7 linked regions of the Mus musculus genome follow. The main gene of each other region encodes a partner of the protein of the gene in region 5 in a complex. Links are inferred from orthologs where the notes say so. Each region holds a gene or a part of one and is shown on either strand. Other genes may lie near its edges. The genes, in order: Ffar2, Trpm3, Ptgdr2, Adgrd1, Gnb1, Calcrl and Grk2. A codon is read from its position in the direction of its gene.

What was found.
Region 1: the proteins of Gnb1 (region 5) and Ffar2 are in contact, whole or in part, in a cryo-EM structure (PDB 9CM7), measured with the Homo sapiens proteins. The link is inferred for Mus musculus from reciprocal best matches to the Homo sapiens genes GNB1 and FFAR2. Residues at the interface, in NP_001269468.1 of Homo sapiens: Arg52, His54, Leu55, Asp312, Ser334, Phe335; in NP_001357016.1 of Homo sapiens: Arg37, Gln38, Pro39, Gln40.
Region 2: the proteins of Gnb1 (region 5) and Trpm3 are in contact, whole or in part, in a crystal structure (PDB 6RMV), measured with the Mus musculus proteins. Residues at the interface, in NP_001153488.1 of Mus musculus: Lys57, Tyr59, Trp99 (codon at 3,198), Val100 (codon at 3,201), Met101 (codon at 3,204), Leu117 (codon at 3,252), Tyr145, Gly162, Asp186, Met188, Cys204, Asp228, Asn230, Asp246, Arg314, Trp332; in NP_001349418.1 of Mus musculus: Lys615, Arg616, Lys618, Ala619, Lys621, Leu622, Leu623, Gly624, Met625.
Region 3: the proteins of Gnb1 (region 5) and Ptgdr2 are in contact, whole or in part, in a cryo-EM structure (PDB 8XXV), measured with the Homo sapiens proteins. The link is inferred for Mus musculus from reciprocal best matches to the Homo sapiens genes GNB1 and PTGDR2. Residues at the interface, in NP_001269468.1 of Homo sapiens: Thr50, Arg52, His54, Leu55, Gly310, His311, Asp312, Ser334, Phe335, Lys337; in NP_004769.2 of Homo sapiens: Cys59, Arg60, Arg62, Lys314, Arg317.
Region 4: the proteins of Gnb1 (region 5) and Adgrd1 are in contact, whole or in part, in a cryo-EM structure (PDB 7EPT), measured with the Homo sapiens proteins. The link is inferred for Mus musculus from reciprocal best matches to the Homo sapiens genes GNB1 and ADGRD1. Residues at the interface, in NP_001269468.1 of Homo sapiens: Arg52, Asp291, Val307, Ala309, Gly310, His311, Asp312, Asp333, Phe335; in NP_942122.2 of Homo sapiens: Ser593, Val594, Ser595, Arg598, His819, Lys822, Val823, Leu826.
Region 6: the proteins of Gnb1 (region 5) and Calcrl are in contact, whole or in part, in a cryo-EM structure (PDB 6UVA), measured with the Homo sapiens proteins. The link is inferred for Mus musculus from reciprocal best matches to the Homo sapiens genes GNB1 and CALCRL. Residues at the interface, in NP_001269468.1 of Homo sapiens: Arg52, Phe292, Ala309, His311, Asp312; in NP_001258680.1 of Homo sapiens: Lys167, Ser168, Ile394, Arg397, Asn398, Gln401.
Region 7: the proteins of Gnb1 (region 5) and Grk2 are in contact, whole or in part, in a crystal structure (PDB 5UKL), measured with the Homo sapiens proteins. The link is inferred for Mus musculus from reciprocal best matches to the Homo sapiens genes GNB1 and GRK2. Residues at the interface, in NP_001269468.1 of Homo sapiens: Leu55, Ala56, Lys57, Tyr59, Ala60, Gln75, Asp76, Gly77, Lys78, Pro94, Leu95, Arg96, Ser97, Ser98, Trp99, Val100, Met101, Leu117, Tyr145, Ser147, Asp186, Met188, Cys204, Asp228, Asn230, Asp246, Ile270, Cys271, Asp290, Phe292; in NP_001610.2 of Homo sapiens: Tyr553, Gly556, Lys557, Asp558, Phe584, Pro585, Asn586, Arg587, Glu589, Pro597, Gln598, Leu600, Thr602, Glu604, Ala654, Leu657, Val658, Val661, Pro662, Lys663, Met664, Lys665, Asn666, Lys667, Arg669, Pro671.

Annotation. Positions count from the first base shown.
Region 1 is NC_000073.6:30,818,393-30,822,660, reverse strand, and holds the start of Ffar2 (free fatty acid receptor 2), read left to right. Parts: upstream 1-1,468; 5' UTR 1,469-1,554; exon of another isoform or gene 1,555-1,672; intron 1,673-1,683; exon of another isoform or gene 1,684-1,922; 5' UTR 1,923-1,984; intron 1,985-2,111; exon of another isoform or gene 2,112-2,240; intron 2,241-2,373; exon of another isoform or gene 2,374-2,546; 5' UTR 2,547-2,547; coding exon 2,548-3,540; 3' UTR 3,541-4,268. UniProt on the Homo sapiens protein: G protein-coupled receptor that is activated by a major product of dietary fiber digestion, the short chain fatty acids (SCFAs), and that plays a role in the regulation of whole-body energy homeostasis and in intestinal immunity.
Region 2 is NC_000085.6:22,986,708-22,990,207, forward strand, and holds part of Trpm3 (transient receptor potential cation channel subfamily M member 3), read left to right. Parts: intron 1-148; coding exon 149-1,601; 3' UTR 1,602-2,086; coding exon of another isoform or gene 2,087-2,109; 3' UTR 2,110-3,500. UniProt on the Homo sapiens protein: Constitutively active, non-selective divalent cation-conducting channel that is permeable to Ca(2+), Mn(2+), and Mg(2+), with a high permeability for Ca(2+).
Region 3 is NC_000085.6:10,935,905-10,939,959, reverse strand, and holds the start of Ptgdr2 (prostaglandin D2 receptor 2), read right to left. Parts: upstream 2,801-4,055; 5' UTR 2,699-2,800; intron 2,239-2,698; exon of another isoform or gene 2,088-2,238; intron 1,551-2,087; exon of another isoform or gene 1,124-1,550; intron 995-1,123; 5' UTR 904-994; intron 1-903.
Region 4 is NC_000071.6:129,176,750-129,180,249, forward strand, and holds part of Adgrd1 (adhesion G-protein coupled receptor D1 isoform 2 precursor), read left to right. Parts: intron 1-1,299; coding exon 1,300-1,403; intron 1,404-2,419; coding exon 2,420-2,531; intron 2,532-2,793; coding exon 2,794-2,947; intron 2,948-3,500. UniProt on the Homo sapiens protein: Adhesion G-protein coupled receptor (aGPCR) for androgen hormone 5alpha-dihydrotestosterone (5alpha-DHT), also named 17beta-hydroxy-5alpha-androstan-3-one, the most potent hormone among androgens. Also activated by methenolone drug.
Region 5 is NC_000070.6:155,539,861-155,543,360, forward strand, and holds part of Gnb1 (guanine nucleotide-binding protein G(I)/G(S)/G(T) subunit beta-1), read left to right. Parts: intron 1-695; coding exon 696-759; intron 760-3,170; coding exon 3,171-3,333; intron 3,334-3,500. UniProt on the Homo sapiens protein: Guanine nucleotide-binding proteins (G proteins) are involved as a modulator or transducer in various transmembrane signaling systems.
Region 6 is NC_000068.7:84,331,267-84,334,766, reverse strand, and holds part of Calcrl (calcitonin gene-related peptide type 1 receptor precursor), read left to right. Parts: intron 1-1,088; coding exon 1,089-1,313; 3' UTR 1,314-3,500. UniProt on the Homo sapiens protein: G protein-coupled receptor which specificity is determined by its interaction with receptor-activity-modifying proteins (RAMPs). Together with RAMP1, form the receptor complex for calcitonin-gene-related peptides CALCA/CGRP1 and CALCB/CGRP2.
Region 7 is NC_000085.6:4,303,423-4,307,594, reverse strand, and holds the start of Grk2 (beta-adrenergic receptor kinase 1), read left to right. Parts: upstream 1-1,372; 5' UTR 1,373-1,580; coding exon 1,581-1,693; intron 1,694-2,401; exon of another isoform or gene 2,402-2,473; intron 2,474-4,172. UniProt on the Homo sapiens protein: Specifically phosphorylates the agonist-occupied form of the beta-adrenergic and closely related receptors, probably inducing a desensitization of them. Key regulator of LPAR1 signaling.

The sequences.
Region 1 (4,268 bases), on a different chromosome or scaffold from region 5:
CTGGCTAGTATAAGTAGGTTACTAGGGGAAGGCCTTTGGAAGTTTTAAACAACCCACTCTGGTCTGAGGACAGTGAGGGGCTGGGGGCGTGGCTCAGTGGTAGAGCCCCTGCCTAGAATTCCCCCGTGAGGGGGCTGGGGCATGGCTAGAATTCAAATGACTCTAGAACCCATCTCTAATACTAGAAAAAGAAAGACAAAAGGGAGGGACAGAGGGAGAAAGGAAGAATGGGGAAGGAGTGGAGAAGGCAACATGTTCTTGCCCTTGTTTTCTCACGTATATGTTTTGGGGGATTTTTCTTTAATATATATAAGTGTTTTGTCTGCATACAGCATGTATGATCAGTGTAAATGGAGGTCAGAAGAGACCGTCCAATTTCCTGAAACTAGACATTGTGAGCCGCCATGCCGTGTGGATGCTGGGAACTGAACTCAGGTCCTCTGCAAGAGCAACCAATGCTCCTAACCACTGAGACATCTCTCCAGCCCTGTGGAGGCCTTGGGAAGACTGGCTAACTCGTAGGTAACTAAACAGGTCAGAGGAGAGGACATAGAGAAACCAAGGGGTGGGAGAGAAGAGGAGGAGGAAGGGGAGGATGCAGAGCGTGCAGCTCTTCTGAGAGCAGCCACAGGGGACCCCTTACAGAGAGTGAACCTCCCTGCCTGTCATCTGTAGCCTAGCTGGCCTTAGCCTGTAGAGTAGTTAGGATTCAGGCCTATGTATGGCCCCACTCCTAACTTTCACCTTCTAGGAAGGTGTCAGAGGCTTGAGGGAAGCACCAGGGGCCCTGACCCTGATGCCTCATGCCTCCAGCCTCACTGGATGGCCCTGGATGTGCAGTGCAGTTAGGATTCCCATGCTCGCTTGCAGAAGGAAAGGAAAGTTCATAAAATCTGATCTGACCCAAAGTTCCCAGTGCAGAGACTTGGATGGCAGCCCGCAGCAGGCCAACTGTGCACCAAAAAACAAGACACAAGCTAGGGAAAGCCAGTCTGTCTCAACAAGGCCGAAGGAAACTTGGGGTGGACACCAGGAGACCACAAAGAAGTTAGACAAGGGAGGAATCACAGGAAACGGGAAGCCTCGTTCTGAGAATGACATTGACCTTCTAGACATTGCTCTGAAGAAGCCAATCAGAAGACAGAAAAGGAGCTGACAGGGGTAGGGGGTGAGGGTGGGAGCGGGTGGAGAGGCAGGTGGGAGGATAGGAGGGGGGCAGTGTCTCAGGGTTTGGGGGCAGGGAGACAGGAAGTAGGGTCAGAAAAATCTGTCAAAATCGGAATAGAACAGATCTCCAGGGAGAGGACAGAGCCGCAGCACCCCCCCGCCCCCCACCCCCACCCCCCCTTTGGGTTTGAGAGGAAATACTGCTCAGTTACTGACCTGCCTCTTTCTCTCTGGTCATGTGACCCATGCTAGTATAAGATCTTCCCACCAACCAAGTTCCTTATGATTTTTGGCTCCCCCTCCTTTTTCTGTATGAAATTGGCTGCAATAATTGCTAAAACTCCTCTTGCACCAGGAACCCCCAAGAAACATTCTCTCTGAAACCAGGCAAGGCAAGCCAGTGTGGTGTGTGCACGCAGGGGAGAGGATCTGAGGAGCAGCTGTGGGGTGAGGAGGAGGCTGCAGGATGTCTGTCAGAACACAGACCCGGAGGCTGAGGGTGGAGGTGGGTGTAAGGAACCATAGACCTTGAAATGAAAAGGACCGGGAGAGAGTGACTATTCGTTTGTAGCAAGAGTTACTAACCAAGTGGAAACAAAGTCACCTCCTGTAGAGGAGGAGTCCTGGATACAGTCAAAGCACCAAGCTTAAGCCAGCCACCTGTGCTCTCTGGGCTGTGTATCTAAAATTTGGAGGTTGGGGGGGACAAGCCATAGAGCAAGGAACTGGCTACCCTAGCTCCCCGGTTTTGGTAGGTTCCACAGCACTGGACCAGAGGAGAACCAGGTAGAAGAAACCCCTGAACTTGCCCAAGGAGGTAAGCTGACAGGTTGGGAGGCTGGGGAGGTGGCAGGGGGTGGGCACCTGAAGCTGAGGAGAGCGAGGGTTAGCAGGGTTGGTTTGCCTTCTGGAAGTTTCCTTTTTCTCCCGAGACACACACCTACCTGATCTTTCCCAGCTTCTATGGCTGCCTTCCCCTCTCTCCCACCAGGCTTTAGCCCCCAGCCACAGTCAGCAGCAAGAAAGGGAACCGATCACAGCTACTTCCTATTACCTGTGAGGCTACAGAGGAAAGGGGCCCTAGAAAGCAGAGGGGAAATTCCCGTGGGAAGTCAACTTGGTCTCCCCCAGAGACACAGGATGGCAAACGTAATAACTGCAGCTTAATATCCCGCCCAAGGCTAAGTCAATAATTGCTCTGGGCAGTTCTGGCAGGTGGCTTGAGCAAGCGGTGGTGAAGAGCAGACAGCTTTGGACTGAGGACAGGAGAGAACCAGAGAGGATGTGAGCAGTCAGAACTCTCCGGAAAGAGGGTCTGCAGGCTGTGTGCACTGCAGGTGGGGAGCTCTTGACCCTACACCTTTCCCCCCATCTTCCAGAATGACCCCAGACTGGCACAGTTCCTTGATCCTCACGGCCTACATCCTCATCTTTCTTACTGGGCTCCCTGCCAACCTGCTGGCCCTGCGGGCCTTCATGGGCCGGGTTCGCCAGCCTCAGCCTGCCCCTGTGCACATCCTCCTGCTTAATCTGACCCTGGCGGACTTGCTCCTGTTGCTGCTGCTGCCCTTCCGGATCGTGGAAGCAGCATCCAACTTCCGCTGGTACCTACCAAAGATCGTGTGCGCGCTGACAGGCTTCGGCTTCTACAGCAGCATCTACTGCAGCACGTGGCTGCTGGCGGGCATCAGCATGGAACGCTACCTGGGAGTGGCCTTCCCGGTGCAGTACAAGTTATCCCGCCGGCCACTGTATGGAGTGATCGCTGCTCTGGTGGCCTGGATCATGTCCTTTGGCCACTGCACCATCGTCATCATCGTTCAGTACCTGAACTCAACTGAGCAGGTGGGCACTGAGAACCAAATAACCTGCTACGAGAACTTCACCCAAGAGCAGCTGGATGTGGTACTGCCCGTACGACTGGAGCTGTGCCTGGTCCTGTTTTTCGTTCCCATGGCAGTCACCATCTTCTGTTATTGGCGCTTCGTGTGGATCATGCTCACGCAGCCCCACGTTGGGGCTCAGAGGCGACGCCGGGCAGTGGGCCTGGCTGTTGTGACGCTTCTTAATTTCCTGGTGTGCTTTGGACCCTACAACATGTCCCACCTGGTGGGGTTCTACCTGAGGCAGAGCCCCTCGTGGCGGGTGGAGGCTGTGGTGTTCAGTTCCCTCAATGCCAGCCTGGATCCATTATTGTTCTACTTCTCCTCCTCCGTGGTGCGCAGAGCTTTTGGGAAAGGTTTGCTACTGATCCGCAATCCTGCCTCCTCTATGCTGGGCAGGGGAGCCAAAGAGACAGTGGAGGGGACCAAGATGGACAGGGGTGGAAGTCAAGCAGAAGGGGTACAGAGTTCTGAATTTGTCACCGAGTAGAGAGTCCCCCGGATCTTCCCGAGCATTTGGGTCACCCAGAAGTTGGTCTGGTTAGCAGAGCTCCTGAGACTTGGTAAAAGATAAAAGATTAAGAAAGAAAGAAAGAAAGAAAGAAAGAAAGAAAGAAAGAAAGAAAGAAAGAAAGAAAGAAAGAAAGACACCTCCACCCATCTGCCACTGCCCTCTCAGCTCAGCAGAACCACTTGACTGAATTTTCCTGCCCAGAGAAGCATAGCTCCAGGATACAAGAAGGAATGGCTACACCCTTACACTGTATTTTCACAGTGGGGTCAGGGGCTCAGAAGCAAGGTGACTAATAGGGGTGCAGTAATAAAAGTAATTTTTTTCCTCGAGCTTGGAAATGCCACCTAGAGACAGTGATCTGGCTGGTGATGCTGGAAAGAAGCCAATGGAAAAGATGGGGGGAGATGGGGGGAAGAAGAGGAATGCCGGGAAAGCTCTAAGCCACAGCCTTGAGGCAGGGGCTGAGGGCGGGCAACACACAGGGCTCCCATCTCTGGTGATCTTGGCCTTTCTATATCCGATTGAGCTGTCCTTTGTACATGTGCTCCGCTGATTTTCATATTTTGGTCTTGTCTCCACTGTTATGCCGGGATCTGGGTCACATGCTTATCCTCTGTGTCACCAGTCACTGGGTCTAGGAGATGTCTTGGTACCCGTCTGTCTGACATTGACAATGACCTGAAAGGAAGGATTAAAAAGAAAAT
Region 2 (3,500 bases), on a different chromosome or scaffold from region 5:
CAGTAGCAGCAGGAACGCCACTCTCTCCCCTTCAGCCTCTCCCTTTACCCATAGTCGAGCACAGCTTTGACATCTGCTAGCCTGATCCTCCAACTCCCCCAGCAGAGGAACCCACCCAAGTGACTCTTACTCTTTGCTTCTCATACAGGGTGGAGAACATGTCCATGAGGCTGGAGGAAGTTAATGAGAGAGAACATTCCATGAAGGCTTCACTCCAGACCGTGGACATCCGGCTAGCACAGCTAGAGGACCTCATCGGGCGCATGGCCACCGCCCTGGAGCGCCTGACTGGTCTGGAGCGGGCAGAGTCTAACAAAATCCGCTCAAGGACCTCCTCAGACTGCACAGATGCAGCCTACATCGTCCGCCAGAGCAGCTTCAACAGCCAGGAAGGGAACACCTTCAAACTTCAAGAGAGTATAGACCCTGCAGGTGAGGAGACCATATCCCCAACTTCTCCAACCTTAATGCCCCGTATGCGAAGCCATTCTTTCTATTCAGTCAATGTGAAAGACAAAGGTGGGATAGAAAAGTTGGAAAGCATTTTCAAAGAAAGGTCCCTGAGCTTACACCGAGCTACTAGCTCCCACTCAGTAGCCAAAGAACCCAAAGCTCCTGCAGCCCCTGCAAACACCTTGGCCATTGTTCCTGACTCCAGAAGACCATCATCTTGCATAGACATCTATGTCTCTGCCATGGACGAGCTCCACTGTGATATAGAGCCTCTGGATAATTCCATGAACATCCTTGGGCTGGGTGAGCCAAGCTTTTCAGCTCTAGCACCTTCCACAACCCCGTCAAGTAGTGCCTATGCAACGCTCGCACCTACAGACCGACCTCCCAGTAGGAGCATTGATTTTGAAGACCTCACCTCCATGGACACTAGATCTTTTTCTTCAGACTATACACACCTCCCAGAATGCCAAAACCCCTGGGACACAGACCCTCCAACGTACCATACCATCGAGCGTTCCAAGAGTAGCCGCTACCTAGCCACCACGCCCTTTCTTCTGGAAGAGGCTCCCATTGTAAAATCCCATAGCTTTATGTTTTCTCCTTCAAGGAGCTACTACGCCAACTTTGGGGTGCCCGTGAAAACGGCAGAATACACAAGTATTACAGACTGTATCGACACAAGATGTGTCAATGCCCCCCAAGCAATAGCTGACCGAGCCACCTTCCCTGGAGGTCTCGGAGACAAAGTGGAAGATTTATCTTGTTGCCACCCTGAGCGAGAAGCAGAGCTGAGCCATCCTAGCTCTGACAGTGAGGAAAATGAGGCCAGAGGCCAGAGAGCTGCCAATCCGATATCCTCTCAGGAGGCTGAAAATGCAGACAGAACCCTATCCAACAACATCACAGTTCCCAAGATAGAGCGCGCCAACAGCTACTCAGCAGAGGAGCCAAACGTGCCATATGCACATACCAGAAAGAGCTTCTCCATCAGTGACAAGCTTGATAGACAGAGGAACACGGCGAGCCTCCGAAATCCCTTCCAGAGAAGTAAGTCCTCCAAGCCGGAGGGCCGAGGGGACAGCCTATCCATGAGGAGACTGTCTAGAACATCGGCCTTTCATAGCTTTGAAAGCAAGCACAACTAAACCGGCTTACCGTGTGTTGCAGGAGGCTCGAGAATCCAGCGCTAAAATTCTCCCCAATGCCCACCACCACGTTCCCCCTTCCTTGAGTTAGACCTGCTTTATTCTTAGCTGAGCAAAACAATGGGAGACATTAACTCAAAGGTAACCTCTGGGCCACAGGTCAAGCAAGCATTCCATCTGGTCCAGTGCAAAACACAGGGGTCAAAGCATGTTCCTATCTGTTGGGCAGGGAGGGGTAAAGACAACAGACAGGGGCTAGAGATGAATGGGTGTCACCAGGCACCAGAGAAAGTCATGAGCTCTGGGAGCCAATGGGCTTCAGCACTCTCCATGCCAACAGGCATCATGGGATTTCGGCCCTGTTATCAAGAGTCGAGGGCTAAATTGCAAAATGAAATAAGAGTAGGCAGCGTACAAGATGAGATATTCTAAACTTCCATTCTGTTTTCTTTTCACATTGGTTCCATCACTGGTGACTGATGAAGAACATCCTTTTTATTCAGTATAAGCCGGCAGCAAGCAGTTCTACCTAACGTCCCACATCCTTCTCATGCCAACACCTCTGTAATTGGTCATTATAAAGAAAACCAAGGTAACAGTCATATATACAGTTCACCTGTCTCTTATCTATTCACCTCTGGTGCCACAACTGTTTATCTCTTTAGAAGAAAATAAGGGAACAGAAAAAAAATGCCTTTTTTTTTGTCTTGCGATCAAAATGAAAGAAGAATTGATGTTGAAAGCAAAAGTCATATGATTTATAATATACCACGGGCAATCAAATATAGTCAAGGAAGCTCAGGATGAATGTACTCAGATACTTTTATATTTGTAAGTTATTTTGTATCTCACCTGTCATCAAAGAATTCACTCGTCAAATGTGTAATATTGAACTTTAAGGAAAAGGTGGGAAGATCTAACATTAAGTTGCCAGTGGGATGTTGTCACAGTCTCACCGTTCATAGTGTGTGACGCTGCTGTGTGGGCCTTCATCATCTGCATGTCTCCACTATGTCCTCCAGACACCTCCAAGATGTAACTGCCAAATTTCCATACCGCTCATCATGTGACCATTTTGTATTTGAACACATGGTTATATGTGGATATTTTCATACCTAGAGTTTTAGCCATCTAATCTGGGCTCAGCATAAATTTAATCAGAGTTTTTCAAGGGCTGGTATCTTTTTTATGGAAATGTTCCAAAGTACTTTTTAAGGAAGTTTAAAAACCATAAATAACCTTAGATTTGAGTAGGGGCTTGATAGCAACCCAAACCCATCAGTTGCAGGTAGGCCATGAATATGTTTCTTATTTACAAAGCTATAAAAAAGATACAGTAGGGCTAAAATAGAAAGCAATTTTACCATATACAGAATTCTATAGTTTATGCTGCTTACATATACATCCACATACAGACTCATGTTTATATACAGTATGTATACAGACAGAGATTTCTTAAAAGGCTTTGACTTTCTGTCATCTGACGGTATAACTAAGATTATTTTTTAGTGTCCAAGAAGTTTCTCTGGAAAAAGTTTATTGTGCTATTGGACCCACTGTTGAAATTATAATTTTCAAAAGAAAAAATATCTCTGGTCTTCTTCACCTGTCTTTTCACTGAACAAGAACTGTCCAAATGGTCTCCTCCCTCCCCCTCCCCCCCTCCCTCCCCCTCCCCCCCCCCCCCCAATCTCCTTCTATTTGGAAGCATCCATTGTCATGAAATCCCTTTTACTCTGGTTGTTCTGACACAAAGCTATTACCACCAAATACACTCTGAATAGATGAGTGCTTCTAAGCCAGTTTGTATTACACCATCTAGGATGGAGGCATATGTTTCTAGAATAGAACCTGGACTTGAAGTGGGATAAAGAAATCTTGACCACAAATCTTTGGATT
Region 3 (4,055 bases), on a different chromosome or scaffold from region 5:
GGGCAAGCCAAGTGTAGTCTTCCTGAGCCTAACAGTCTCTAGTTTGTAGGGCTACTGGAACAAAACGAGAACAATTTAAAAAGGGCATGGGTAGAGGGGGGAAATGTAAGTGCTTGCTAGAGAAAATATAAGTGTGTGCTATGCAAGCGTGAGGAGCTGAGTTTGACCCCAGAACCCAGGGATAAAGTAGGGTATGGTACACGTGCTTGTAATCTCAGTGCTGGAGAAAGACAGGTGGATCCTGAGGGCCCACCGGCCACCCAACCTAAACTACTCAGTGAAACAGGTCCCAGAGACCTTAACGTAAAAAGACAAGGTAGGGGACCAGAGGGATGGCTCCACAGCAAAGCATATACTGCTTTTCAGGAGACCAGTGTTTGACTTCCACTACCCATATGGGGCAGCTCACAACTGCCTATATAATTCAGTTCCAGTGGATCCAACCCCTCTGGCTTCTGCAGACACCTGCATTCGCATCCGTACCCACAAACACACATACACACACACTTTACAATAAAATCTTTTTAATGTGGACAGATCCTAAGCAACATGACTCAAGGTTGATATCTGATGTATACACACACATACATAAGCCTGCATTCATGTGTACATACACACATACACAATTTAAAATAATAAAAATAAGTCATTTTTTAAGGTGACTGCTTTTAAGGTTGATTTTTGGCTTACACACACATACACACACATACATACACATACATGCACAAGAGAACTGACATAAAGCAGGCACTGTATCAATTCCATTTTGATTACTATTAAGCACTTGTCCAAGATCACAAAGGTCAGGCCATGCAGGACCTATTTTCCCAGTCTCCAAAACACAGAAAGGTAGCCCCTCCAATGAGACGGGAGGTTTGTACCACCCAGCCCCACAGGCCTTACCTCTCTGCAGTTCCTCCTAGAGAGCAGTTGTCAGCCTCAGTGACTGATCGGGTGTGCTGATTGGTTGAGACCAGGGGAGCTGGCCCTTCCTCTGATAGAAGGAGAGGAGATAAGATAAGAGGACAAGCGTGAGACCTGGCTGGAGGAACTATCACACAGGAATCTGGGGAAGGCAGTGACAGTCCTACCTTTCCCAGGAAACCCATACCCATTTACTCACCCACACACTGGGCCAATAGGCACATTAAGCAACAACTAAGGAGCTCTGGACAAGCCAGGTTCTCAGCCTCATGGAGAACCCCAGGACCCGGTAACGAAGCTGGGACCAGGGAGGGCTAAGGGAATCACATTGTATACTCTGCCGCAGAGAGGAAATGAAAGCAGGGTGTGCCAGGCACCCACAACCCTCCAGGTACTGTGGTAGATCCTGTAATAGATGTTATTTCTTGTGACTCTGGAAGAAATGTGCCAAGACTCTCTCCATCCCATTCATTGTACAGTTGAAAAAACTGAGACACAAGAGTCTAAAGTGCTTGTTGAGCCACGCAACACAGACATGTGGAAGAGGGATTGTTCAGTCCTCAGGCTACTGTCTATCTAGCTTTGAAAGTGGGATGATAGAAGAAGAGAAGGAACTGAGCAGTGGTGGCGCATGCCTTTAATCCCAGCATGTAGGAGACAGAGGCAAGCGGATTTCTGAGTTCGAGGCCAGCCTGGTCTACAGAGTGAGTTCCAGGACAGCCAGGGCTACACAAAGAAACCCTGTCTCAAAAACACCAAAAAAAGAAAGAAAGAGAGAGAGAGAGAGAGACAGAGACAGAGAGAGAGACAGAGAGAAAGAGAGAGAGAGAGAGAGAGAGAGAGAGAGAGAGAGAGAGAGAGAGAGAGAGAGAGAGAAATGGAGAAGAGCAGGAAATAGGAGCTTGCCAGAGACCTCAGAACCCCTCTTTCTAACAGAACTCCTCTTTCAAATTCTATTGGCCAGAATGGAAAAATCTACACCCTTCCAGAAGCCACTGATCTTCCTAGGGTGGAGCTCTGGGACCCCAACCTAGAAGATCCCTGACAGAATACCTATTGGAGCTAGGTCAAAGGGAGCAGGCACATCTGACATCTTTGAGCTCTATGAATTCTTACTGATCCTACTTTTTAAGCTTTAGCGTCTGCAGAGCAGTCCTACTCACATTAATCCAATGAAAGGTAGCTTTTTAGAAGAGAAAATTGAGGTTCAGAAGGGCAGAGAAGCTGGGACAGTGCTGTGGAGGGAGACTGAGGTTTTCCAGGATCCCAGCAGACAGATGTGAGCTATTCTCTTTCTGCTGTGAGACATCCCTTCAAGCTGCACTGTCAGTGTCATGGGATGCTCAGAAGACAGCGCTCCTGCACTCTTCAGAACCACCCATTCTGATCCCTCAGGCTGTCTGAAGACAGTTTCAAGACCCGGGATCTTGGGGCACCCAAGCAGCTAGGATCCTGTTCTACTGGGAACCCCAGCTTTTCAACACCCTGAGCATGAACTCAACTTCCAGCTGGGTGAACTTGTCAGTTTCTCTAAGCTCACCAAGTGATCCTGTCCCCTCTCCTGAGATAGCATGGTGGCCATGATCAGACAGCTCACACATTGTGTCTACCATCTAGATAACACCCAGGAAAGCACAATCCTTCCTTCTGCGCATCAGGCCCCACCAGGCTCTTAAGCTCATCCAGCCCCTTATCACTCCAGCTAGGAGTAGCCCTCTCTCTAATCCTGAGAGTGCACCAAGGCTGCCCAGCCCCTGGAAGGCTGCCTCCTTACCGAGCCACACAGTGAACACAGTGAGCACAGGGTTGAGTCGTGAAGGCTGGCAGCTTCTGAAAGCAGCAGGACTGAGCACCAGGCGAGTGGCAGGAGGAGAGTGAGCTGAAGGAGGAAATAGCTGTCAGCCCCAAGAGTAGGGGCGGGGACACTATGTTCAAAGTCTTTCATCTCCATCCAGGCCACCAGCCCCTGGAAGCTCCTCTTCGTGGAGGAGCCTCTGGAACCCAGAGGACAGTGTTTTAAGTCCTTTACTGCCAATCCCCAGACACCACGATTCTCCAAGGAGAAGCACTCCAGCTCTTCTGAGGCAGCATGGGCCCCTGTCCCCAGAGAACTAGAGGAAACGTAGGGGCCGTGGGAAGAGCACAGAGACCCTTGGTCAGGAGGTCAGTCATTTCTCCTGTGTGCTGCACCGGTGACCAGGAAACAGGTCTTCTCATAGCAAGTGGGAAGGATGAATTGAGGCAGGTCAGGGGAGCATCTGGCACGTAGTAGGTGTTCACAAAGACAGCTTCTTTCCCATCCACAGAAAAGTGGGCAAAGCAGGTAGCTGCTTCACAATAAGGGAAATAGAGCCCAAGTCCAGGGGAGGAGAAGGTCGAGTCTTAGAAGTTTGCATTTTAGCCAGGCATGGCGCTGCACATCTTTAATCCCAGCACTAGGGAAGCAGAGGCAGGTGGACCTCTGTGAATTCAAGGCCAGCCTGGTCTGCAAAATAAGTTACAGGACAGCAAGGACTGTTACACAGAGAAACCCTGTCGTGAAAAAACAACAACAAAAGGTTTACATTTTCTTATTGTCTTGACTTGTGTGAGTGTGTATGCACACATAGGTGCATACATGTGTGTATGCACTCATAGGTGCAGACATGCAGGTGCAGATGAGCATGCATGTGGAGGCCAGAGGACACCTCAGCTGTTGTTCTTCAGGGGTCAGCCACCTTGTGGTGCATGTGTGTATGTGCAATATATGTGTGTGCGTGCATGCACTGTAGTACACATGTGTTTGTGTATGGCGACCAGAGATCAACATCACGTGTCTTCCTCGTCATCCTCCACCTTATCTTTTTTTTTCCAGATTTATTTACTATATTTTATGCTGCGTGCAGGCATCTTGCCTGCATGTGTGTCTGTGCACAATGTGTGTGCAGTGCCCATGGAGGCCAGAAGAGGGCATAGGACCCACTGGAGCTGGAGTTACCAGCAATTGTGAACTGTGATGTGAGTGCTGGAAATTGAATCCTAATCATCTGGAAGACCAATCAATGCCCTTAACCACTGAGCCATCACTCCACCATATATATGTATGCCTGTGCTCATGTGTGTAATATGCTATATATTTATATAAATATAAA
Region 4 (3,500 bases), on a different chromosome or scaffold from region 5:
GGCAGTTCCCACCAGGACTCCAGGGACTAGACTCTGTCCTTTAGCCAGGAAGGTAGCTCCTTGTTGTGATTGGCAGCTTAGTCAATCTATCAACCTTGAGGAGTCTCCTGGCTTTTGATGAAAAAGTCCTGAATTTTATTCATTGTGAAGGACTTGTGCACCTCATTTCCCTGGTAAGCCAGGTGGCTGATGGGAGACAGAGAGACTCCTGGGTCCTGGTAGGAAGTATCTGAGGCCCAGATTCCTTATCGGACTCTCCCATGGGGTGACCTGAGCTGCAGAAGGCCTAGTCTCGATGTCTAATTAACTCCGTGAGGGGGTCATGGCATCTCCATCCTTCCACAGTAGCTGGGATGTTCATGCCCACCTGTACCTGCATTGTGTATCCATTTCCATAGGACACAGAATGCTGACAGCCTGGGCTCAGCCCCAGTAAGGCTCCTGCCTGTGGTCAGCAAATGATTGAGATGAGGGATACTCGCCAACCTCGAGCCGCCCAGCGAACCATGGTGGCTCTCAAGGCCTGGCTGTATCTAGGCTCTGTCCAGGGCCAGAGAGTGCATGAGGGGGAAGCTCAGCCTCCGTCAGAGCTGGGACACCATCCGGTAGAGCCAAAAACCCAGCCTTAACAGAACAGGGCCAGGTACCAGATGCTGAGGCATGGATGAGAACATCAAGCCCAGGCTGCTGGGCTCCAGTGGGATGCATAGTCTGTTACATATGTCTTGTATTGCATGGAAGATGGTCTGTCACAACAGATGTCAGTCCAGGTGACCACATAGGTGCCCACTTAAGAGATGGTCCCAAGGGCTGGTGTGTGCCTGCCAGTGAAGGCAAGTATATAGTGACTGTCAATTTGGGGGTTAGTGATACTGAGGACAAGAGACCTGGAAGTGATCCTCTCACCCAGCATGCTGTGTGTAGTTTTCCTAGCCTTATGTCTGTGCATCCACTGGTACCCACCTCAAGCCCCTCACTGTTGCTCTCTGAATTTCATAGCCAGAGGAGGCACATATCTCTGATCATCCTAGATCACCCATTCAGACATGGCTGGGAGTATGGTGGTAATACAGGCCAGGTAGCTTAAGTGGGGAACACAGCGGATACAACGGAGCAACCCAGAGCACGGGAAATGCCAACCCTGAATTCCAGTGTGGTGTAGCCCTCTTTCTGTGAGGCAAGTCTTGGAGGTTGGCATTACAAGGTCAGCACTGTGGGTGTAACCACTTTGGCACCATCCCAGCCAGGGGATGGGATGGATGGAAGGCCAGCCTCCCACATCTCCTTCTGTTCCCGCAGCTCACACATGGACACCAGGTGGCGCTGTCGTCCATCAGTTACGTTGGCTGCTCTCTGTCAGTTCTCTGCCTGGCTGCCACCCTGGTCACCTTCGCAGTACTGTCGTGAGTCACCCTCTCCTTGTGTCCCCAGGAAGTCTAGAAAGTTACTGGAAATATAAGTGTTTCCTGTCACTCTGGCCATTCCTCTGTCTGGCTCTGAAGACCCTTTGGGGGGGCGGGGGCATGCGTCCTAGCTAGTAGGGGTACAGATGTGACTATGTGACTGTTCTCCGGTGACTTTCACTTTCATATCTGAGGTGCAGAAAAAATGGAAATAGCAGGGCCTGTAGGGTAGGGTCAGCAGGTTTTAGACATGTCAGAAAGGTCTGGAAAGTCCCACCTTGGCACTTGAGTTCCGGTGGGATCTGAGCCAGGCGAGAGCTAGCACATACATCCTTGACTGCACCCTCATCAGCAAGCAATGGTGCTTGGTTTTGAGGCCAAGTTATGCATAAATGCCTTTGGATGGGGCCCATCAATAACCAAGAAAGCCAAAGAATAAATAAATGCCTTCTCGAGCAGTCTGCCACGCACAAGGAGACAGTGCAGAGGTGAGCATCTTAGGGTGGGAGGCCAGAAAGCCCTCCCTATTGGTAGTCATCCAGGCCTCCAGGAAGAGCCCTGCCAGGAATGACCATAAAAGAATGGCGGGTCCTGTAGCCACCCTCCTGTATCCAAGAGGCGCCCTCCCTTCCTGCTGCCCTCAATTTCGATGATGCCCATGACGTCATGGGGTGTATTTTCTGCAGGTTCTAATTTAGAATTTCAATTAGTTCCCTCCATCTCCCCCACCCCATCCCTCACAGTGGAAAGGGTGAAACAGAAGAGGGCCCAGGGAGGTTAGAGGAGCCACTGAACTTCCGGGAAGGGCTCAGGCTGTGCAGAGTGGCTGGAACTATGAAAGGAAGTAGGAGGCTAGCCCAGAACAACCAGGGTCCAAGCAGGGAGCTATGGCATGGGCAGGGGTAGGAGCTATGAAGATACTCATGGTTTCTCAAAGAGAAGTAGAGAGGGGACCCGAGTGGGGGTAGGATGTCGAGGCTGAGCTCCGGGACTTACACCCGCCTCTCTGTCTTCAGTTCTGTCAGCACCATTCGGAACCAGCGTTACCACATCCACGCCAACCTGTCCTTCGCTGTCCTGGTAGCCCAGGTCTTGCTGCTGATCAGCTTCAGCATGGAGCCTGGCACGGTGAGTGGGTGCTGACCCTCGGCCGGCAGCTGTCTCTTCTTGAGTCACGGCAGTGGCAGTGGCAGTGGGCATGGCTGGGGAGTAGCAGTGGGCATGTGGGGAGTGGCAGCAACACGGGCTGTAGAACTCTGGCCTGAGAAACTGAGCCTTGCCTCCCCAGGAATAAAATGAGGTCCTGGGAATAAATAAGAGTAAGCAAAGCCTCAGCACGGCCCCCCCATGTACCCCGTGGTCTCACCCTGCACCTTTGCTTGGCTACCAGGTCCCGTGCCAGGTGCTGGCTGTCCTCCTACATTACTTCTTCCTGACCGCCTTTGCTTGGATGCTGGTGGAGGGACTACATCTCTACAGCATGGTGATAAAGGTCTTCGGCTCAGAGGACAGCAAGCACCTCTACTACTATGGGATAGGCTGGGGTATGTAGTAGGGGAGGGGCAGAGGGCAAGGATAGGCTGGGGTGTGTGGCAGGGGTGGGGCAGATGGCAGGGGTGGGACCTATTAATATAGGTTGGGAGGGATGAGGTGGGCCGGGTAGGGATGGGGCAGATGGAATGGAATGGGTTCTGGTGGCAGAGAGGCAGAGCAGGTGACTGTGGGGCAGGGTTTGGTAGAGACGGGATGGGTTTAGATGGAGATGGGGTGGGTTTAGCTAGAGATGGGTTGGGTTTAGGTGGAGATGGTATGGGATGGGGGGGGGATCAGGTGTGGAGGGACATTGCTGGAGATGGGATTGGTCAGCGTGACTCATGGTGTATCAATATACCATTGTCTTGGAAAGAGTCTGTGTTTTGCTGTTGGACAGCGTGTTCAAACCCTGTCAGGCTTAGCTAGTTCAAGGTGACATTCGAGTTCTCCATTCTGACCTAGGTCTTTCCTCTGTTTGCTCTGCTCATTTTTTTTTTGAAGTGAGATGTTGACGTCACTTGGCCCGTTCCTGTTTCTGCTCCCTCTCTGCCTTCCTTTGACTTA
Region 5 (3,500 bases):
AGTCTATCATGAAAGGAAATCAGCAAAGACCGCAGAGGAATACCGCTTACTAGCTTTCTCTTTAGGGCTTACTTAGCCTGCCATCCAGGACTACATGCCCAAAGACGACACTGCCCACAGTAAACTGGCCATGCTCACATCAATTATTAATCAAGGACATACCCATAGGTTTACCTATGTGCCAATAAGATGGAGATATTTTCTCAGCTGAGGCTCCTTCTTCCTTAGAGGACTCTAGCTTCTGTCCTATCCCACCCCACCCCCAATATAAATAAAAACAGGGCAGGTGTTTAAAATGGATTAAAATGGTTCCTGAGTGGGTAGTGTTTCAAGCTTTTCCCATAATATTCAAGCTTTCTTGCTGTCAGTATGAACAAAACTGTGTCCTAAATATTTGACATGTCTCATGTCTCTGTGTATCTAATTTAACTTGGAATAAAAAAGAAACCCGTCAGAAGCAGGTCAGATCAGTACCATCTCTCGGGTGATAAGAGAAGAGCTGGGGAGTCTGGTCATCCAGGTGTCCCCAGGGCTGAGTTGTTATCTGACACTCATGGTATTCCATTGCTCGAGCATTGAGATCCTCTTTCTTATTATTAAGTGTATTATATTTTAAGCGAATGTAGCTTTAAAGCTCTAGTTGGTCACCAAGATTTTTTGTTTCTGTTTTTTCTTTTCCTTTATCTTTTCTCCAGGCTCCTTGTCAGCGCCTCTCAGGATGGAAAACTCATCATCTGGGACAGTTATACCACAAACAAGGTGGGCAGTGCAAGACCCTCCCTGGAACAGTGACAGTCTGTTGATGGAGCAATGATGACCTCGGAGGGCGATAGAAGAGCTTGTGTTGCTGACCCATTAAGCTTGGCATACAGTTGTGCTGTGGTTCCTGTCTTGGCATGTAGATAGGAGCTGAGTGCTTCCTTGTCCTTGCACAAGAGCTACACTCCACTCCTAGTTTTGACTGGAAACTTTCCTAATTTATTACTAGAATACTGAAATGCAGATTCCATTTAGTTAGTAGTTTGTTTTGTAGTAACAAGAGATAATCTAAGATGCACTATACTTTTTAATGTTTAGTGGAGGATTGGGAATGTAGCTCAGTGGTAGAATACTTGTCTACTGGGCATAATTCCCTGGATTTGATTCCCAGAACCACAAAAGATAAAAAACCAATGTAACCCAACAGATTGGTAAAAGTCTGTGATTCTAGTAACTCAGGAGGCTAAGGTAGGATGATCGAATAAACCCAGAGGGCAAACCTGCCATGGCTAGATAGGGGAAAGGAGAAGACAGAGATACTAGGTAGAATGTTTGCCTCATAGGTACAAATCTCTGAATTAAATTTCCACTTCTCTTATATTGAAATAAATTACACTGGGTATGGTGGTACATGCTCATAATCTATCATTTGAGAATGTAAGCAAGAGCCTCAAGCATTAAAGATTATGCTTACCCACATAATAAAGTGAAACCAGCCTGAACTACATGAGACCTTGTCTCTAAAAAATAGTATTCACAAAAAACCAAACAAACGGGGCTGGCGGGATGGCTCAGTGGTTAAGAGCGCCGACTGCTCTTCTGAAGGTTCTGAGTTCAAATCCCAGCAACCATATGGTGGCTCACAACCATCCGTAATGAAATCTGATGGCCTCTTCTGGAGTATCTGAGGATAGCTACAGTGTACTTACATATAAATAAAAAAAAAAAATTAAAAAAAAATTTAAAAAAACAAACAAACAAACAAAAAAGAATACATTTAAATTCTGAGTGGTTGCAGTGGCCAGTCTATAATTCTAGCATTTGGAAGACAGAGACAAGGAATCCACAAAGCAATCTGGTTATCTAGACCTACAGACGAGCTCTAGACAGTCCTGAGGAACACTGTCTCACAGAAGAAGGTGGAGAGCAGTCAGGGGAGGGCCCGTGTCAGCCTCAGCCTCCGTGTGCACAAGCACACATGCGCATAAAGTACGGGGAGCCGAGCCAGGCGTGGTGATACACGACTTTAATCTCAGAAGTTGGGAGGCAGAGGCAGGTAGATCTCTGTGAGTTAGGGGGCCACCCTGTCTATAAAGTGAGTTCCAAGACAGCCAGAGCTCTAGAAACCCTGCCTGCAAAAACGAACGAAAAGGTGCAGGGCTGGAAAGATCGCTCAGTCACTGCCTGATTTTTCCAGAACGTCTTGAGTTTTATCCCCAGCGTCTGCGTAGTGGTTTGCAGCCTTCTGTGTGTCAGTTAAAGGGGAACCCAGAGCCCTCCCTCCTTTAGCTTTCCAGGCTCTGTACTCAGTTAATCAACAGTTAATCAAATGTTCCTACAGATAACATGAAATTAAATCTCAAGACAAGTTTTAATGCTGTCATCAATTAAGGAAAAAAAATTGGACAGTTGTATTTTCCCTCAAAATTAGTAAATACATGCCAAGATTACAGAATGTTAACTGCTCTATCTAAACAGCAAGACTAACTGTGTTACCAGTGTGCAGTTAGGTTATTGCATGTGAGTGTCAGAGAGAATGAATATGAATGAGTTCTGCCTCAGCTTCTTTATTGCTGGGATCGGCATGAATCACCATGCCTGGCTGTTTTTTATGTGCTTGTCTTTGTTTTTTTTTAAGCTCATAGCCATGATAAATTAAAGGGGAAAGTAAATCTTTTCAAATCCTATTAACATCACTCCTTAAATCATTAAAATGCAAATATAATTTGTGTTTTCTTTGAGATAGTTTTCCATTATGTATAGCTCAAAATATCCTCAAACTTGCCATCGGGGCTGGTGATATACACCCTACTGGACAAGACTTTTGAGTTCAAGTCTCAGAACCAAAAAAGACAGACACGACAAAAAGCCCTCTTTTTCTTTCTCTTAGCTTTCCAACTCCTAGATTCACTGACGTATGCCATCACACCTATCTACTCATTAGGGTTTTTTGGTTTGGTTTGGTTTGGTTTGGTTTGGTTTGGTTTGGTTTGGTTTGGTTTGGTTTGGTTTTGTTTTGTTTTGTTTGTTTTTGAGACAGTTTTACTATGGAGCCCTGGCTGGCCTCAAATTCAGAGATTCACCTACCTTTGCCTCCTGAGTGCTGGGGCTACAACATAAACTATACACCCAGCTGTAGTCATATTTTCTTGAACTTAATAGTGTTTCCTGTCTGTATTCTTGTTATTTAGGTTCATGCCATCCCTCTGCGCTCCTCTTGGGTCATGACCTGCGCATACGCTCCTTCTGGGAATTATGTGGCCTGTGGTGGCCTGGATAACATCTGCTCCATTTACAACCTGAAAACTCGTGAAGGGAATGTGCGTGTGAGTCGTGAGCTGGCGGGACACACAGGTACACATCTCATGTTCCAGTGGTGTAAGCTGCTAACTGGGATGTATACTGCTCTTGTGATCTGTTGATTATTGGTTCAAGTAAAAGTGAAAGTAACGGCCAGAAATTTTCTGAAAGTGAAGCCAAACCAGGGCCAATATGCCTTCATCTTTAAGAAACATGGAAAC
Region 6 (3,500 bases), on a different chromosome or scaffold from region 5:
ATGGACTTTACACAAATATTTTGAACAGAAAGTTAATTATATACTCTTAATATCTGAGGATGTTAAGAGTATATGAATTACTAGATTTCTTTTTATTCTTAGATTCCTTTGGGTGCAGGCACAAAATATTAGATGGCAGATTGGGAAAATCTATTCAAACAACAAACATCTAGGCAAACATATATTACACCACAGGGATGGGGCAAATATATTATGACCTAAAACTGGCCAGCCTCTACTCAGGCTGTACACAGTTATCAGATCTGTTAGTATAAAGATGATGGCATCTAAGACTCAGCTGACTATTTTCATTTGTGTTTAAGGACTCAGCATGAAGGAAGTCTTTCTAGAGTCCTAATTCAATCAAAATAGAAGTCAGTGTATCTGACACAATTATTCATAATCTTTAATTTCAGTCAGGAAAAAAGGCATTAAACTTCACATTTGTTTTAAGAAAGAAAGCTATGGGCTAGAGGAATTTTAATCCAGCAAAATGACTGCTCTGGCAAGAAACCACATATCCAAAGACCTTCTGGGTCTCTGTGATCTGGCTGGAATGCAAACAAGCCTTTAGTAAATGCCTTTAATCCCAAACAATACAGGTAAGATTAGTTTACAGAAGGAAGCAGTCATGTTTGAAAGAAACATCTAATTGAGGGATAGACAAAGTGATGAACCAGAGAAAGATTTAAAAGACTGATTCAAAGATAGGACATGCCCAACTCTCATGAGAACAACATAGGGAAGAGAATTTAGGGCATCATAAATACGAAGTGAACAACCTACTAAGGAGCTAATTCTCATTCTCTCTCTTTCTCTCCTTTACCTTTTATTTTTATACAAGATATAAGTAAGATACTTAGGTAGGTCTGAGCTTACTTAATACTAGCATGCAGGCAGGTGTTGATCTTGCAGTATTCCTCCTTCAGTTTCATGTGTAACTAAAATTATAGACCAGGACCAGTTTGGTCTTCTTCCTTTAAAGAGCAAAAGCTTTTCTGCCAAACATTTTGTTATGCATCAAATAGAGTATTTTCAGCTCAACTAATGGGTTGTTTTTGCTGTTTCTGTTTATTGTTGATCAATAGGTTCAAGCAATTCTGAGAAGAAATTGGAACCAGTATAAAATCCAATTTGGAAATGGCTTTTCCCACTCTGATGCTCTCCGCAGTGCATCCTACACAGTGTCAACAATCAGTGACATGCAAGGGTACAGCCATGACTGCCCCACTGAACACTTAAATGGAAAAAGCATCCAGGATATTGAAAATGTTGCCTTAAAATCAGAAAATATGTATGATCTAGTGATGTGAAAATATATAAAATCACACACTTGAACCTATGATTTTATAGCCAAAAGATTGGATAGCCAGCAAATGGATTTCTGGAATACCATGAAGAAAGCCCTCAAATGAAATGGGAATTGTATGGATAAATGTTTAACAACCCTCTCTCTATGGGGGAGAAAAGCCTCAATTTATATTGTTGGCCAGTAACTACTCCTACCATAACTGATTTCAAGTTACCAACCTGACATCACTGAATGTGTAATTGGAAAGAAAATAAGCACAAACAACTCCCAGGAGCTGACATGTTCTGGAACCTGCACAGCACTGCATGCCCTCAGAGATGGAAGTCTGTGCACACTCTCACCCACACTGACCAGAACTCTGCTCTTCTCATCTGAGGAGACCTCACTCGGACTTACAGACATGAAAGGAAAGTTTGGTTTTTGTTATAAAACTCCTCATCCTTTTGTCATTTGGTGATAGTGAATGGTTTGTCCAGAAACACTTTAACCCTCTTTATAACTTCTCTTGTAGACTAGACAAAGAGTTCATTATCTCTGTGGTCTCATGTTACTTTCTTTAAGAAAAGCAACTGAGCAGAATTCCCATGGGCTTCTTAGTTGCTGCTACATATTGTTGTATCCTGTGGTATATGCACTCTGAATCACTAGGGAGACATATTGGTAGAAGCTACACCTTGTCAGCTCTCTCTCTCTCTCTCTCTCTCTCTCTCTCTCTCTCTCTCGGCAAGAATAGGAGGAAATCAGTTTTCTGGAATCTGTAAATAGAAACTTTGGCCTTTCCATTTCTACTGTGTAGATAAGTAAGTGATCAACCATTTTACATGAAGGGAATCAATGAAGGATTTCTTTTTATCTTGGGAATCTGAGAGAGAGAGAGAGAGAGAGAGAGAGAGAAAGAGAGAGAGAGAGAGAGAGAGAGAGAGAGAGGTTGTACAAATGAAACTGTAAGTACTCTGTAATTTTATTTTATTGTTTCAATTCAAAACACAACCTAGGTAACTTTTAAAGCAGATAGATGATGCAACATTATATGCAACTTAGTATCTGATACTGTGTCTGGGCTGATTTATTTTATAGTAAAATAGAATCATGAATTCTATACTTGGTAAATATTTTAAGGACAAACAGATACCAGCATCAGAAGTTTGAGAACTAAAAACAAACCCCAGAAATATCAATGATAAGATATGAAATATTTATTTAAAAATGTAAAGCCATAATTTTACAAGCATGATATATTTGGTGTGCTGACATACTGCTTCCAATATGACATATTCCAATTTGATGACAACTCATTCAAATTCAGAAATTATGAACAACTACTGTAAGAAGTGCTAGTCTGCTACATTTGTGGGCTTTAATTCACTAAATTATAGCTTTACTGATTTTTACTAAATGAAGATACATGCTTTTGAAAAAGACCCAGGTTATTATTTTTTTATGAACCACAGAGGAATTTTCTCTATGTAATAACACTGTTTCAGTATTTCAGTAGACTACTGTGGATGATAATACAAGCCACGGGAAGACTTGAACTTACCACTCATTGAGGATGAAGTGTCAGATATTTAAGTAATAATTAAATTAAGACAGAAGAAGATTTTGCTTGTGAGTTTAAGTGACATTTTAAATGGATTTAGTTTTTCCAATATTGCTTGGTTTGGAGTTTCTGAAGAACAAGATTGACTTCAGTTAGTAAAAGTCACTCTGGGGACAGTTACATGAGTCCATGTTTTTTAAAGTGTGTCTGTCAGTTTACAGTGGATGAGAGGAGTGACTCAGCCCTCACTCATTGTCTTAAGCTATAGAAGAGAATAAATTAAAAAGTTGTTTGAAACTGTCAAGGAAAAGAATTCAAATTATCAAGCACTGATGTATTACATGATCTGACAGACATATTTGTAATTTTCTTTTTTTTTTTTCTTTCTTTTTTTTTTATATTTGTAATTTTCTGAACTTTCAGCTGCTTAAACCGTACAAACCTTCCTTTTAATACCTTCAGACTTTAGGTATTGATTATTCATATCTTCGCTGACAGTGTTCGTGTAATTCTGCATTCTTCTAAACAAACTGTCAAGTATTAACAATAAATGGTAGTACAGAATGCCGAATTACCAGAGAACATACTTAAAAGGTATTGTAATTTTAAGTTTTATTATTTTTTTACTATACCGAGTGTAGCTGAGAT
Region 7 (4,172 bases), on a different chromosome or scaffold from region 5:
GGCCTTGAATGTACAGTAATCCCATCAGATCTAGATTTGGGGACAGCCATTCTGGTCAGAGCCTGTATCAGAGGGCAGTTTTAGGAACCCTGAGAAATGGACAGGTCAGAGGACTCTCAGGAGGCTGTAGTGGTGACCTAGGAAAGGAGAAGTAGAGGCAGGATCTGTCTAGAGATGTCGTCCGCTGACAACCTTTCTCCCCTAATAGGATTTGTTTTCTTCTGAAGGAGTCAAGAAGTCAGGGGAGTCGGGATACTTGCTTTGCTGGACACGAACTGGCAGGAGAATCAGGTTCTAAGTGTCCATGCCTGGGGTGGGAGTGTCCTGGCAGCCTGGAAAGCAAAGAGGTGCTCTAGAGAGGTGTGCAGTTTAAATTGCTTTCACTCATTTGCTTAAGACGGGGTCTCACTCTATAGCCCTGGTTGGCTTTGACTTTACAGAAAGACACCTGCTTTTGCCTCTCGTGTGCTAGCCAGGTAAAGTAGACAGGAGTTGGCCAAGGAAGAAGGCACAGAAGGGCTCAGTGGGTAAAATGTTTGCCACCAAGCCTGAGGACCTTGAGTTCCATCCCTAGAGACCCATGTGGTAAAAAGAGAGAACTGATGGTCAAATTGTCTGTCCTCTAACCTCCACATGTGCATACACAATCAATCAACTGATCAGTCAATCGATCGATCAATTAATGAGTTCGGCGTTCATCAGAGTGTGGTTTAATGGACTATGCCTTTAATCCATTTCAGCACTTGGGAGGCAGAGGAAAGCAGATCGCTGTGAATTAGTGGTCTGCCTGGTCTACATAGTGAGTTACAGACTAGCCAAGGCTACACGGGGATACCCTCTCTAAAACAAGAACAACAACAAACGTTCATGTCAGGAGTGCGGCCCAAGCTCTGAGTCTGGGGTCCTGTTGGGAGTTTGAAGTCAGGATTGTCATCTGGTCAGGTCAGGAGTCAGGGGTGGTAATGATGGTGTGACTCTGAGAGAATGTTCAGAAATTTGAGTATAGGAGTCTTGGTCGGTGTCAGGATTCTTGTTAGGACCCACGGTCTTGGCCCTAGTGGAGCGTGCAGTCTAGCATGCTGAGATGGGATCCGCGTTTGTGGTCATGGCTTGGGGTCTGAGGTCATCCTAGAGTCCTTGGTGGAAGACTCAGGTAACAAACCAGGACTGAGACCCGTGTCTCGGACCCGAGCGGTGCAGCCTCTAGGGGGCGCTGTCGCCTGCCCGCCCGCCCGCCGCCCGCCCGGCTCGGCCCCTCGGCGGCTCGCTGGCGCTGTGCGCGGCAGGCGGGGCCGGAGGCGGCGGCGGCAGCTCCGGGGCGCGGGCGAGCGGGTGGTGGTGGTGGTGGCGGCGGCGGCGGCGCCCCGACTGCAGTCCCGGCGGGAGCGGAGCGCGAGCCGGGCCGGGCCCGAGCCGGCGCCATGGGGCGGCGCCGCCTGTGAGCCGGCGACGAGCGAGGACCGGGCGGGGCGGCGGCGGCGCCGAGGCCCACAAGCCGCGCGGGCCGGGCCGGGCCGAGCGAGCGGGAGCGGAGCGGAGCCTCGGGCGGCGGGAGGAACAGCGCCGCCGCCGCCGCCAAGATGGCCGACCTGGAGGCGGTGCTGGCCGATGTGAGCTACCTGATGGCCATGGAGAAGAGCAAGGCCACGCCGGCCGCGCGCGCCAGCAAGAAGATCCTGCTGCCAGAGCCCAGGTGAGCCCGCCTGTGCCGGGCCCCACGCGCCGCCCCGGGATCCCGTGCCCTAGGGACCCCCTCCGCCCCAGGTTCCGGGGACCTTCTGCCCCAGGACCCGGGAACCCCTTCTACTCCGGGGACCTTCTGCCCCGGAGACCCCATTATTCTGGCCGCCCCAGGACCCGGAGACTTCCTCTGTCCCTGCCGCCGCAAGGCTTGGTGTCCGCAAGCCCTGGGCGCCCCAAGTCCAAGCTCCTAGCCCTGGGCCGCCCTGCCGCTTCCTGTATCTCACTGCCCGGCCTGGTCGCTGTCAGCCCCTGACTCTGCTGCAGCCTTCTTTCCACCCTGATGCTTGGCTCTGCCCTCTACCCTCTCGTGTTCCCTTGTGGTTCCCTTCCTCAAGTCTGCCTCTGTTTACCCGATTGTATCACACAGTCTGTTGCTCCCGTTGGTATTCCACTACCCTATCCACTCCCCGTGGAGTGGGTAACACTCTTGTGAGGTTTGTGGAGTGAAGAGGACCAATTTGAAGACTTTTATTTATTTATTTATTTATTTATTTATTTTGCCTTCCCCTATGGTGGGGTCACTATGGGATTGGGTTTGAGAGTGCTTTCTGGGGACAGTGCAGTGTACCATTCCTGAGGGCTGCGCTCCGGTGGGTGAGGGAAGTCCCTACTTTACCCTTTTCCCCACTTGTGGTTCCTTATGGGTACTTTTGACCAGGGGACCTCCCATCCTACAGCAGATGGACCATGCTGCCACCTCTCTACAAGACAACTGATGTCATCGCACCTGGTATCAAAGTTTAAACTGTCCAGGATGTGGGTGCAGAACAGGGCAGGATGTGAGAGGTGTAGCTGGGGCTTGTCCAGTATATTATGGTAAATAGACTTATCTTCCTATTTGAGCTGCACAGGAGACCAGAGAGCGAGTGAGACAGGTGTAGTTTTGTTCCCATAGAACAAGGTGTGTGTGTGTGAGAGGGGAAACAACTCAGACTGGAATGGCTTGTGCAGTGTCACCTGGCCTCCACATCAGGGCTCTCAGCTTCGAGTTTTATGTTTTGTCCTGACCTGAAGGGTGGCCTGGACGTCTGTCCTGCATCTGGAAGAGGAGATGTGTCCACCCACCAGGATGCCTCCTGGTGGGTGGTGAGGCCAGTCCCAGTAGCCTCCCATGCCAACTCCTTTAACAGCCAAGAGTTGGCCTTGATTTTACTGTCATTCTCTGTGGTAGAACATGCTCTACCCCCAGTGGGCAGTGTGAAATAGGCCTCTGGTGTCCTCTGTCCTTAGAGCCAGGTGGGCAGGTTGCGGGCTTGCTGCTGTGCCTGTCACCGTGCCCCCTCCTCCAGTGGCTGCACACTGGGTTTCAGTTTGACTGAGAACCAAGCCCTGTAGAGGAAAAATTGGTCTGTGTTTTGAAGAGGCCGTTGGGCCCCCCTTTTTTCTAAGACATTTGCAATCAGATTTCTCAAAACAGGAACTAGACTGAGTGTCAGCTGGGGCTGTCTAGGGGCAGCAGCAGTTAGGATGAAAATGAGTTCAGAAATGACAAAACTTAAAGGGAAGAGTGGGGGAGGGGCAGTCCGCATCTTGGGCTTGTAGTGCTCTCCTGGGCGGCCACAGCCATGGGGTTCTTCTGCAGGTGGAGGTCTGCAAAGTTTAAGGTGGTGCCTTTTCTAGAACTCTCTGTGTCTGGACAATCTTTCCCCAGAATGCATTGCTCCTAATAGACCCTACCTCCGGTCGTCTCCTTGCTGGTGTTCAAGAACCCTGAAAAACGAGCTGTACCTCTTTCTTTTTACCTTTTCATATGGTGGCAGTTGTGATGTGATGTGATTGAATAAGAATGGAAAGTTTAATAATTCATTATTTATTTTGACATCTGTCATCTCAGTTGATCCAAAAACCAACATGTGAAGTTGGCAAGGCCAACAGTACCAGGATGGGGTAATAGCTGTGAACAAAATTGCAGCAGGCTGTGAGTTTTAGGAAGCGATACCACAGGTGCAGGGTCACCATCAGTAGGATGTTGTTGGGCCAACTGCTCAGTCTGTGAATGGTTAGGAGCCTCTAACTCTGCCCACTGGTATGCTCAGACAGTCACCCTGCAGTGCTGTGGCCCTAGGCATGCAAGCCTCTCATGATGGAAGGCAGGTTCCCTACGTGGTGACGCGCTCTGCACACTATTGAGGCAGGTATCTCTCACCCTTGAAGGTAGTTGTGATCGTGTCTCATGTGTGCCCAATATATCCCAATCTGTGAAGTGTCTTGTCTTCACAACTCTGGGACGCTGGCTGACCCAGCAGGTGGTATTTCTTCATTTACTAACCGAGCTTTGAGGCTTGTCACACAGAAGATCTGGGATTGGGTCACAGGTCCTTGGAGTCCCAACCACAGTCTCTTCCTGTCAGTGCTTTGTCTCTTTCCCCCACTCCCATATAATTGGTTTGTGGGATGGGATGGCTGAAACCACTTGTCGTGGGAGCTGT